3 linked regions of the Arabidopsis thaliana genome follow. The protein of the gene in region 3 purifies or fractionates together with the protein of the main gene of each other region. This does not show direct contact. Each region holds a gene or a part of one and is shown on either strand. Other genes may lie near its edges.

Region 1 (3,812 bases), on a different chromosome or scaffold from region 3:
TGGCGCGGGGAATTAGGGCAGACGAAGACTACAAACACACGTGCAAAACATAAACATGGGCCTCTTTGAGTATTTAGGCCCAATTTAAGTAAAATCGCTGCCACATCAAACCAAGCTTGGTTTAAGTATTGGTTGTTTTCGGTTAGTCTATTTTCTTTTTGATTCGGTTTTGAACCTTGTTTCACCATGGTGGAGATCTCCAATATAATTTTTTACTTAATTTTCATAATTCGTATTTTATGAGAATGGAATTCAATATAGTGTAGAAGTATTAAAATAAACCAATGAGCTTCCACGAATAGATCCATTTAGTTTGTCTAAAGTAAACAATGTTAGCTTAAACCCTGAAATAGATGGAAAGTTTTGTTGTAACTTGTAAGACACTAGATTAAAAATGTACAATTTTGATTTTCAACAGAGTTATTTAATACTATTGGACAATCTATAGTGAAATTAAAGCTAGAAATGTTTTATTCAAATTCAATTCGTTATTTTGTAGTTTCAATGAAAGAGTTGATCCATTTTATAATTCACCCTAATACTTTGGTGTTGTCATTTATAAATGAAACTGAATTAAGAACTGTACGAATAGACTTTATGTTGTTGTTTGCTAAATCACCATGCAAACAAAGCTAACGCATACTCAAGAAATTGCCATTACTTGGTGAAAACGTGAAACATAAATTCAGATTCACGAATTTGAGTCTAAAGTACTCAAGAACAAAAACCAAGAATAATAATTTACAAGAAAAATGCAGAAATTAAAATGCTTAACCAAGCTTGGCAAGAACTTCGTTCAAAGCAGAGACTGTCTCAGCATAGTACTTCTCAGCCTGCGAAGGACTCTTCTTCTTCGCCGCATAATCCAGCTGCCGGAGAATCAATCATAAACAAACTTTCGATCAGACAAACAAGAAACATTACAAAATCTTGATAGATGGTGATCGAAGTTAGATGAGAAACTTACATTGTCGATGGTATCGAAGAGCTTGGTGGTGAGATCCTTGAGTGACTTCTTCTCATCCTTGGGTTTGGAGGAAATGATTGTGTTAAGATCATAACGAAGATAAGAAGCCTTGGAACGAAGATCGTTTTGAACATATGGCCAAGCTTTCCTGTCGATCAATGGCTTCACATTTATGATATCCTTTGCAGATTCTTTGGCTCTAGCTGCAGCTTCTGTTGGTGGCAATGGCTGTAAGTAAAACCTGTCTTTCAATGCCAATGCAAAGTCTCTTGCTTGGTCTGAGTTATCTGTCCCAGCTGCTCACCAAACAAAACAAATTGTTGTCACCTCATAAAACATAAAACAATGTGTAAGTGTTATATATCTACCGTCGTATGTCATATAGAGATCGAGTTAAGTGTGTTTATACCAGAAAAATCGATATAAGAACTAACTCGAACACATGTTTGCTTGCTTATTATGAACTCTAACCCAAATCCGAATGAAACATTCATACACATGCTTGATTATTATGGAGTCTCTTATATTCTTATACAAAAACATCCACATTTAAAGACTACATTTTATGGTTTTTTCATCTACATAACTTAAATCACGTTTAAATTCCTAATCTCATTAACAATGAGAATGAATATCATATTGGAAGATTAGTTTGTTAGTTAACTTACGAAGGCCACCGGAAGGAGCTGGAGGAGGGCCAACTTTGATCGAAATAGCATCGGCGAGGACAGCCTGAACAAACGAGCCACCAGCTAAACCAGCAGCAACAAGCCCAATCACGGACCGGCGAGAAGTCTCCTCACTCTGCTGAGCTCTGACGACAAGTCTAGACCTTTGAGCCACCGCCACTCTTCCAGAGCCATTCAGACGGCTGGAGCCATTGATCTTTAAGCTTCCTTCAAGAACCGCCGGAGATGCACCGTGTAATCCACCCATCGAAGCCATTTTGTTTTTCTTTCTCAAGACGAAAATTGAAGCCGATGATTATTGGTTATGCTTATATGATTGGTTGGTTTCATTCTCCGACACAGAGCGCCTTATCTGTACTTTAGATAACTTGGATATGGTTGTAGCCACTCATATAAAACCACGTGTCATTTTTGTCCGCCTTAAAGCCACGTGGCAAGATTATTTAAACATTTGGGCCGAATTGTAGGCCCAAAGTTAGCCCATATGTTTAAATACTTTATTGATTGATAACGTTATGATAATTCCAGAAGTCCGCCACATCTAATTTCAAAATCGTTCGAATTTCGAAACTACAGGCTCCTGCTTCAGTCACACACTTACACACACACAAAAATCCCCAAATTAGGAAAAAGTAAGAATCCTAGTTTCTCGACTTCGATTGAGAAGGTTTTCGATTTGATTCTCTAAGATCTTGAGAATCAATCGGAGATTTTATTGTCGGTAACCCGAATTTAGGGAGAAGACTACCATTTTGGGATTTTTATGCACTTGACGAGCGAAAGGAGAAGAAATTTGTAGCAATTTTGAGTCTCGGAGATGGCTTCTCGCAACCAGAATCGTCCTCCTCGCAGTCCAAACGCCGTAAGCTCCCTTTTTCATGCTTTTCCACTACATTTCGTCGTCACTTTTGAGTGTTCTGGAGGATGGGTTTGAGAAAAACCCTAGGACTGGTCGAATTATTAATTTCGCATTTTGGGTTTTGTTTGTGAGCTTACCAGATGAATTTATTAAGGTGTTATCTTCATCGGCTTTGCATTTCTTACTCTGATGGGTGTTATCAATAGAATTTAGAGTGGTCGTGGGTTCTGGGATTCTACATTTCTTGTAGCTGGATATTGGTTTTGTTATGAAACTGATGAAAAATCTGTGGCTTTTGATTCAATTTCAGAAAAAGGAGGGTCTCGGTGGCATTTCATTTGACAAGCGAAGGAAAGTGGAAACGCAAGGAGGTACTGGGAGAAGACAAGCTTTTTCGGCTGTGAATAAACAAGATGTCACGATGAACAGCGATGTAGGGAGCATTGAAGAATGTGGTAAAGTTGACTTTACAAAAGATGAAATATTGGCGTTGCTCAGTGAGAGAGCAAAAGCTGGAAAGTTTGATACTAAGGTATATTGATTGAGTTACACTTGCTCTGTGCTCTAAGCATTGTAGATGTTTTCATTTATGGTTTCACTCAGAAGGAGTTTTTTTTTGTCTCTGTCCCTGCAGGCTAAGATTGAGCAAATGACGGATATTATCAAGAGGCTGAAGGTTTGTGTAAAATGGTTCCAACAAGCTGATGAAACCCATGTCCAAGAGAAGGAAAATTTGAAGGTTTCTTTGGAATCTTCAGAACAAAAATACAACCACAAAGGTTATTTTCTTCTTGCGATTTTTTTACATGAAACAAGTTATTCACTCATTTGGTGGTAGTCCCTAACTTTTTGACTCTTATAGAGTTGGAGGCTAGGACAAAAGAGGAAGAGCTACAGGCCACTATCTCAAAGTTGGAAGAGAATGTAGTGTCACTACATGAAAAGCTTGCAAAGGAGGAGTCTAGTACACAGGCAAGGGTTTTGGTGCCTGGTTTTTCTAATTGTGAATGTTTTCTTTTAATGAAATTCATTACTTGACTTTGCTTTCCTCTTACTTATTGAACACTAGGACGCCATTGAATGTCATAGAAGAGAAAAAGAAGCTAGAGTTGCAGCTGAAAAAGTGCAGGCTTCTCTCGGAGAAGAACTTGATAAAGTTAAGGAAGAGAAAATGGCTGCCAAGCAGAAGGTATATAACATATGTCTTCTGGTGTTTTCTTAGGTGTTTCATTTCTGTTTCTCGTGTTAGTTCCACATGATCTGTTAGTTAATATGGAAATTGTTTTGTGTTTATAGG
Region 2 (4,060 bases), on a different chromosome or scaffold from region 3:
AGTGTTCTTTAATTTATAGAGATCAAAGTAAATTTGGATGTGACTTCCGTTTGATAGAATCTTTAAAAGCTAATTAAAGTTTCGGTCAACCATATGACGTTTAAACCTTAAGCACATACAAAAACTTCTTTGTTGACTTATAGGACATGACAATTAAACGACCATGGTCTAACCTCCTCCTTGTCATATCATGAAATTTGTTATATCATTATACCTAATTAAAATCTAAAGTTTAGATTATCTCGCGCGTGGAGTGGGAAGAACACTTAGAAAAAGTGAAGCGATTAACAAGAAGAAGAATAAAAACTTATAAAAGTGTTAATGGTTTAAGTGTCCTCGGCCTTTGACCTAATCACACGTATATTTTTTATTATCTTCACGATCTATGTTAAAATATATTGTTCACTATAGTATGATTAATTTATACATTTGATGTATGTATATGATGTATGTATGTATGTAAAGGATAATCAGTAGTGTGTACGTAATATAGACTAGAAGTGTATGATAAATATTAATTGAACTAAACTTTAAGAAAAATCTCTATGTTACCTATTCTATATCAATTAGAAAATGAAGCTAAATTAATTGCATATCTTACTTGAATATCATGTGTCTTAACATCGATTTTCTTTTACATTCCTGACATCAAGACCTCAAAAAGACAGAATCTCAAGCCCTCATTCTGATTCCTAAGATGACAAAGTAACTTTCACATACAAATATGTTGAGGGACTACTATCTGCATGAAACTGTGACAAATGCATGGTTGTTGTTGTTATCAATCCATTAATTTCTGTATAAAAGAAAATTTGATATTAATTTTAGTTAAAATTTCCAATCAAAACTCTTTGAAAAGTTGTGGTATGTCATCTAATTTATGATGGAACAAAGGTTAATTTGATCACGAAGTTGGTGTAAAACTGATAATGGGAATGATGAGGACGGGAATGCTCAGAATCAGAACATGAACTTACAAAGTGGTCAGCTCGAGGACGAATATATAATGTTTTGCTAAAGAGCCAGCCAATATATTGGTTAAAACTTGAAACTGAAATTAGAGATAACCGATTTGATCAGACAAGAAGAGAAGGAGAAAGACAAAGTACTTGGATAGCAGTAATTATAATAACATCGACATCAACAGATTACAACGCAAGTCTTTCTTCATTAACCGAGCTTGGCAAGAACATTGTTCAAACTCGAGACAGTTTCTGAGTAATACTTCTCAGCATCTGGGCTACTCTTTGATCTCGCCGCATAGTCCAACTTCCACATAAGAAAATCAACAAAACAACAATCTCAGATTAACCCAAACTTAGGAAGAATCTTGTGCATAAAAAAAATCAATGCACACTCTAACTTCTTTACCAAGAAACCGCTAGAAAACAAAACCCTAAAGAAAGAAAAAACTTACGTTGTCAATGGTTTGGAAAAGCTTTGCGGTGAGATCTTTAAGGCTTTGCTTCTCTTCCTTAGGCTTAGCGGAGATAACGGTGTTGAGATCGTAACGGAGGTACGATGCTCTTAAACGGAGATCGTTCTGAACATAGGGCCAAGCTTTTTTGTCGATAAATGACTTAACGTTGATGATCTCTTTAGCAGAATCTTTGGCTCTAGCTGCAGCTTCTGTTGGTGACAATGGTTGTATGTAAAATCTATCTTTCAATGCCAATGAAAAGTCTCTTGCTTGGTCTGAGTTATCTGTTCCAGCTGCTCACACACAAAAAAACAAAAACAAAAGCAGAACCATAATCAATCAAACAGAACCGGTCTCTATAATCTAATTACTAAAACTTTTATCTTACAAAAGTGATTAAAGATACGTTTGATAAAAACCTAAATTATAACCATGCAAGCTATAACACAATAATTTCGTTTTGTTATCTCCTTAACCAAAAAAATAGTATTAGTCATTATGTGAAATTTAATTAAATTAGTTTTACTTACGTAGGCCACCGGAAGGAAGTGGAGGACCACCAACTTTGATCGGAATAGCTTCGGCGAAAACAGCTTTAACGAATGAACCACCGGCTAAACCAGCCGCCACGAGTCCAATCACTGACCGGCGACTACTTTCTGGTACTGACACGTTCTGCTGAGCCCTGATCACAAGTCCGGTTCTCTGAGACCCAACCGAGACTCTTGAGATGTTCAAACGGTTTGAGCCGTTGATCTGTAAACTTCCTTCAAGGACAGCCTGAGATGCTCCACGTAAGCCAGCCATCGAAGTCACTGCTTGAGCCATTTTTTTTTTATCTGCTTTGAATAATTGATTAGTGAAGTGTTGAGTTATAATTTTTGGTGTTTGGTTATGTGACAAAGAATACCTTATCTGATTCACGTTGTTACTTAGATTACTCGGATATGGTTTTAACTACTAATATGTTGACACGTGGTTTCTTGATTCTCAGTTTTGCCACATAGGATTGAGATCGAGTGTTCCCAGAATGCGATTGTCACGTGGCTGAATGACGTGGAAATTGACCAATTCGGTTAAACCTAGTCAAAGTTAATTGAAAACCGGTTTCGATAATATCTAAGCAAATTGTAACTTAAATCCAATCCAACTTGACAAATAAATGAAATCCCTTATTGTTAAAAAAAAGTACAAATTGAAAAATAGATAATTTTGGCCTCAATTTCAATTTTGGATTTTGTACATAGCCATTAAGAATAATTTGGTCAATTCAATCTATTAAAGTTTATATGATCCACATTTTTAATTTCGGGTGGGTTAGGAATAATAGTCACTTATTCACGAATTCAAATACCTAATCATGTTTAGCATCCAAAGTAGACAATCTTAACCGTTCAACAATATTGGTATCACTACTTCATTTTGGTATCTAAATATGAGCATATTTCATTCCAAAAAGAATTATAATCACAAAAATAATAATAATAAAAAAACTTATAATCACAAAAAAAATTACACCGTTTTTACTATTTTACATTTTTGTTACTACTTTACTTATATTTAAATTACATACACACATTAAAACACATTATTTTAATCACTAAATAACAACTAACCAATAAAAATCTCAATCATTATTTATAAAAATTTAAAATAAAAGAAATATTTTATAAATTTATAATATAAATATAATCAAATACTTAATTAAAAACCATATAAGATTGACGACCTGAAAGAGGATGGATCAAATGCAACTTTGATGGCTCATTCGTTAATGGAGATGTAGAAAGTAAAGCAGGTTGGGTTGTTCGGGATAGTAATGGAAGTTATCTACTGGCGGGTCAGGCTATAGGAAGAAAGGTGGACAATGCTCTGGAGAGTGAAATTCAAGCGCTAATCATTTCAATGCAGCACTGTTGGAGTCATGGTTACAAACGGGTTTGCTTTGAAGGAGATAACAAGATGCTGTTTGACCTAATCAACGGATCCAAGGTACATTTTGGCGTTCACAACTGGATACGAGACGTTCATTGGTGGTCAAGGAAGTTTGAATCAATCCATTTCAATTGGATAAGAAGACATCACAATGTTCCAGCTGATATTCTTGCTAAAGCTCCTCTCCAAAACCAATCTTTATTCCTTAATCATTTTTGGGTTCCTAATGTAATAAGCTATGCTTTACATTGTGACTACACTGCTGATTTATAAATCAATAAGATGATGATGACAAAAAAAAAAAAAAAACATATAAAACCGAGGCCCGCTGTAAACCACGGGTTGAATCCTAGTTAAAGTAAGTAATAACTCTCCAAAATTATCCCAAAATCGAATATTAACTGCGAATCAAACTAAAAACAAGAATTTGAAACTTTTAAAACCCTTCATTTTATACAAAATAAAAGAAAAATAATTTTATAAAAAGATTTAACCATAAAATAGAAACCAATTTGATTAATATCTTACTTTTTTTTCTTTCCCATAATTTATTTAGCCAACAAAAAGTCACGCAAAATATGGAATATCACTAGTGTTAATGGACCGAGTTTTAAGTCAATTGGCTCAAATGGAGCCTATACTTTATATAATAATAATTTAAATATTAATGGACAAGAGTAACGTTACAATGTTGATGGGCCTGAA
Region 3 (4,326 bases):
CTGTCTGACTTCATAAGACTGCCGGAAAAATTAAATCCAGTGGCCGGAGACATTAAAGCTCCAGTCTTTAAGCACGAAGGTAAAGCCATGGATATCAGAACAGGACAAAGCTGCTTCGTTTCAAAGAGACTCTATTTAAAGACAGACACAGAAGAAGAAGAAAAGAGAGAGAGATCGTTGTAGCTCTGTCTTTGCCATGGCTGACAACATCACACACCACCACCGTTGTCAGAAAGATAAGATTTTTTGTTTCTCTCATGAAACGAGAGGCCCTCGGTGCTCCGACTTATACGACGTCATTTAATACAAATGCGTAAAAAAACAGAGCTTTGCCATATTCTTCATACAGTCCAAAGGCTCTACCTTTATTCCTGTCTATACTCAAATCAAGAAAGAAACACAATGCGAAAATAACCGTTTTAAATTTCAAATATTAGATTGAGACCACAACACTATTGAGTACTTGAGTTCACATACTAAAACTATTGTGTGAAGACTTGAGTTCTATGTATTCTACACAATTCCTTAAAGCTTTGTGTTTGACAATTTTAATCAAGGGCTAGCTAGAGTTACCTGATATGTGTACCTTACTTGAAGTGTTAATTGATACAAGAGAAAGAGATAGTAGAGGTGTTCACAATGAAAACGAGAGACTCAAATACACAGAACCAACTAACATTTTAACCACACTTCAGTACTTATCCTGTTGTGATCTTTGTACTAGACCAAAGCCAACTCCCTTCTCATTGGTATAACATGGTATTATTGAAAATTCATACTCAACAGAAACAATATAAGAAGGTCATGGTCTCATGGAGACAGACATGAGACATGCATGAAAGAAGAGAAAGAAGAGAAAGAGAGAATGATCAAGCAGCTTTGAGAAACTTCAAGGTCTCGTCGATGTGTTTCTCAGGCTGGAACTGGTTGTTGTAGATGAGCTGAACAACACCGTTTTTGTCAAGAACGTAAGTCTGTCTCCCTGGCAATGCTCCAAACAGGTCTCCAGGCACTCCCCAATCTTTTCTCACCTTATTCCCTTCGTCGCTTAACAATGTATACGGTAGTTTGTATTTGCTTGCAAACGCCTGCAACAATGTTTAAAGTCCCACCACTCTCTTTAAAATCCGGAAAAAAGAAATGGGTTTATTCAAGAAACCAGAGATTTTTGATGTGTGTACCTTGTGAGAAGCAGAGTCATCTCCACTAATGCCAATGACCTCTGCACCAGCTTTCTTGAATTTCTCATAAGAGTCTCTGAAAGCACAAGCCTGTTGTACACAAGTAAAACCATTTACGTTTAGAAACACTAAATATGCGATCAATGAATGCGGGAAGGAGGAGAAAGTAAAGATTTAACAACCTGCTTGGTGCAGCCAGGGGTTTCATCTGCAGGGTAGAAGTAGAGAACAACAGGCTTCCCTTTATACTTTTTGAGGCTCACCGGCTTTCCGTTTTGATCCTTTAGTGTGAAGTCTGGTGCAGCCTGACCCTTGTTAACCTGCTGCCCACCAAACATCACAAAGAGACCAATTCACAGAAGGTTAAAGAGAGTTCATATGCCGTGTCAGCTTAAATCATATGAATAAAGGATTGAACATATTCAAGAACATTCTAGCATTTGCTTATTTTCAGGTATGTGAAAGTTTATGGTCTCTAAAACAAACACTGATTACAAGTTTCTTTGATTTTGTCTTTGATTCTGCACTAACACATTCATAAATCTGTTCTTATAACATTTAAATTCAGACTTAAAACCCAATATTTACATCTTTTGTTTCTTATTCAAAAATGGCTGTGTATCTAACAATCTATTGTCTTGCTAATATTTATATCGTAATACTCAAAAACATATAAAAAAGAAATGGAACAGAACTTAGATTGTCCAAAAAACATTGGTCTAACAAAGAAGCTAATTCCCAGAACTAGTTGTTACCCAACTGTAGCAAACAATCTATCAATGCAAGAGTCGAGAAATGTACCTTGGCAAAGATTAAGCCTTTGAGAGAAGAGGAAGAGACTGGGGAGATATACGATGAGTGAGTGAGTGTGGAGCCAAAGAAGTTAGATTCTGATGATTTTGTGGGAACTGAAAATTGGGTTTTGGTGACAAGGGTCTTTCTCAGAGGGAGAGTACGAAGTGTGGTGTGATTACAGAGAGTGAAAGAGGAAGATGAAGCAGCCATTTTTTTTCTTTTCCTCTACAAGGACGTGATTAGAGCATGTAGTAGAAGAAAAGCTGAAGATATGGAAACATCACACAATCACAGTCCACAGAGATAAGATTTTTTCTCTCACCTCTGAAACGAGAGGCCCACACCACAACAACACAACATCACAACATCATACCAAAACGTCGTCGTTTAAAACAAATGTAAAACAGAAAGCTTTGCCATGTTCCTGTCTATACTAATTCAAGAAAGAAACACAATGAGAAATTGAAAAGTAGACATAATTCTTTATTTCAAATCTCTATGTATACAAATGATACAAGATTGATACTACAGAACTATTGAGTACATAGTTACTTTGAAGAGTAAGTAGACTTGAGTTCTATCTATTCTACACAGCTCCTTAAAAGCTTGTGGTTACACAATCTGAATCAAGGGCTAGTCACCTAAACCATAAGCTTGAGATGAGATTACTAGCTGAAGGGACAAAACTTTCGGAATCTTCAAAGTGAAAAGTCGAATCTTTACGATGATCTAGAGACTTGAAGAAGAGGAATCGATTGATCTGGTTTGTCTCTGGTTAGTTCTGAAGAATATTAGGAGACATATTTTCTTGAGTTCTTTTTGTTGTCTGCTGTTTGGAGGAGGGATGGATCTTGCTGCTTTTGTGCTTCTCCATGACTACTTTTTTGGTGTTGATGATCTTCATTGAGGAAGCTTTATGAGGAGTTTGATGAGGTTTTTTTATGTTCTCTTTTCCTGGAGTTTGGTTCCTGCGGAATCTTGGTGAAGTCAGGGTCATCGGTGTTACCTGCACATGATTATAATGTCATACATCAAAGATTCAATACCCAAATTTATGACAAGTTACAGTCTGAGAGTTGAATATACCTGAAAACCACCAACTTGTGGGTTCTTGTGTTCTTCAGATGCTAAGTTAGTGTTTTGATTTGCCTTGAAGCCGCAAGAAAATTTATCCTCTTTCTCTTTCTTGTTTTTTTCCTCTACTTTCTTGAAGAACTAACAGACAAGACACATCCACAACAAAAGAGATCTTTTTTAAACTACGGCTCTATAAGTCCTCAAATAATCTCAAAGATAAAGTAAAAGGATCTTCTTTAGTTCTACCTCTTTCCTCTTCTCTGCCCTTTCATCACTTCTGAAGACGAAGGGAGAAGATACAGTCAAAGACTTTGCTTTGGTTCTGCTATGAGTTGACAGATTTTCACAGCTGCAAAATGCATTAGACAAAAACATCTCGTCTTATGTCCACATAAATCAGGGAACTAACACAAACACTTTCAATTAACCAACTCAGGCCATTTGCAGTAAGTGACATAAGATAGTATTTCTCTAAGAGGTTGGTACTTAAACCGCTTACCCGACAGAAGGTTTTCTTTGCTCATTGTTGGATATTCTACATGAAACTGAACTCCTTACAGATATGTTTTTCCTGTATATCAGAAGAAGCAAAGTTAATTATAGGGTTGAGTTAATAATAAAGTAATAGTATAAAGCGATGAATTGGTGTTGAAGATGGTTTGATCAGTAACCTTTTGTTTTCTGATAGCAGATTACTGAGAAGAGGAAGTCTGGGTAACGTGACAGCAGAGGCCTGCAATATATGTAAGAGTCAGTCTCAGCAAATATGCTTGGGATATACGCAAGAAGAGAAACTTGGGAAGAGAATTACATTGGTTGAACCGTCTTTGGATGTCTGAGACAATGGTCTCTTGCAGCTTTTTAAAGCTCCCGTTGGTTCGTTTATCTTTGGGAAAAGTTTGTTTCTAGCATTTGTTGAAGTTGTTCCCTGTGTAGTGGAGTTTCTTGCCAGTGTTTTTGGGGCTTCTTTGGTCGTACGAAGAGTAGAAGAAGCAAAATTGAGTGACATGTGAACTGAACTTGGACCTGATCTCTTCTTCTTGTCTGCTTTCACTGCACTCCTAGAACCGTTCTGGGGCCTCCCCACAATAGTTTTCTCGGTATTACTAGAAGAAACACAGCTGATTGACATGTGAATGGGCTCAGGAGGTGATCTACTTCGGTTCTTCGATGCACTAAGTGACCTTGTACTACTCGAGGATGACTCTTTTTTAGTGTTCTTAAGTGAATGATCCAGTTCTATAACAACGGAAGATTCCAGTTTTGAGCTTGA

The links.
Region 1: the proteins of PRXQ (region 3) and PSBQA fractionate together in Arabidopsis thaliana (co-fractionation; one large-scale study listed by BioGRID). This does not show direct contact.
Region 2: the proteins of PRXQ (region 3) and PSBQ-2 fractionate together in Arabidopsis thaliana (co-fractionation; one large-scale study listed by BioGRID). This does not show direct contact.

What each region holds. Positions count from the first base shown.
Region 1 is NC_003075.7:11,332,546-11,336,357, reverse strand, and holds PSBQA (photosystem II subunit QA), read right to left. Parts: upstream 1,957-3,812; 5' UTR 1,913-1,956; coding exon 1,636-1,912; intron 1,267-1,635; coding exon 968-1,266; intron 870-967; coding exon 771-869; 3' UTR 585-770; downstream 1-584. Other genes in the region: ATK1 (kinesin 1), read left to right, coding at 2,474-2,518, 2,826-3,047, 3,150-3,294, 3,378-3,487, 3,585-3,704, 3,812-3,812. UniProt on the Arabidopsis thaliana protein: Required for photosystem II assembly/stability and photoautotrophic growth under low light conditions.
Region 2 is NC_003075.7:2,670,923-2,674,982, forward strand, and holds PSBQ-2 (photosystem II subunit Q-2), read right to left. Parts: upstream 2,322-4,060; 5' UTR 2,249-2,321; coding exon 1,951-2,248; intron 1,714-1,950; coding exon 1,418-1,713; intron 1,270-1,417; coding exon 1,171-1,269; 3' UTR 978-1,170; exon of another isoform or gene 862-977; intron 797-861; 3' UTR 601-796; downstream 1-600. UniProt on the Arabidopsis thaliana protein: Required for photosystem II assembly/stability and photoautotrophic growth under low light conditions.
Region 3 is NC_003074.8:9,522,667-9,526,992, reverse strand, and holds PRXQ (Thioredoxin superfamily protein), read right to left. Parts: upstream 2,269-4,326; 5' UTR 2,187-2,268; coding exon 1,983-2,186; intron 1,529-1,982; exon of another isoform or gene 1,520-1,528; coding exon of another isoform or gene 1,505-1,519; coding exon 1,364-1,504; intron 1,272-1,363; coding exon 1,182-1,271; intron 1,089-1,181; coding exon 870-1,088; 3' UTR 586-869; downstream 1-585. Other genes in the region: AT3G26070 (Plastid-lipid associated protein PAP / fibrillin family protein), read right to left, coding at 1-89; AT3G26050 (TPX2 (targeting protein for Xklp2) protein family), read right to left, coding at 2,752-2,982, 3,063-3,191, 3,300-3,402, 3,553-3,624, 3,725-3,786, 3,865-4,326. UniProt on the Arabidopsis thaliana protein: Thiol-specific peroxidase that catalyzes the reduction of hydrogen peroxide and organic hydroperoxides to water and alcohols, respectively. Plays a role in cell protection against oxidative stress by detoxifying peroxides.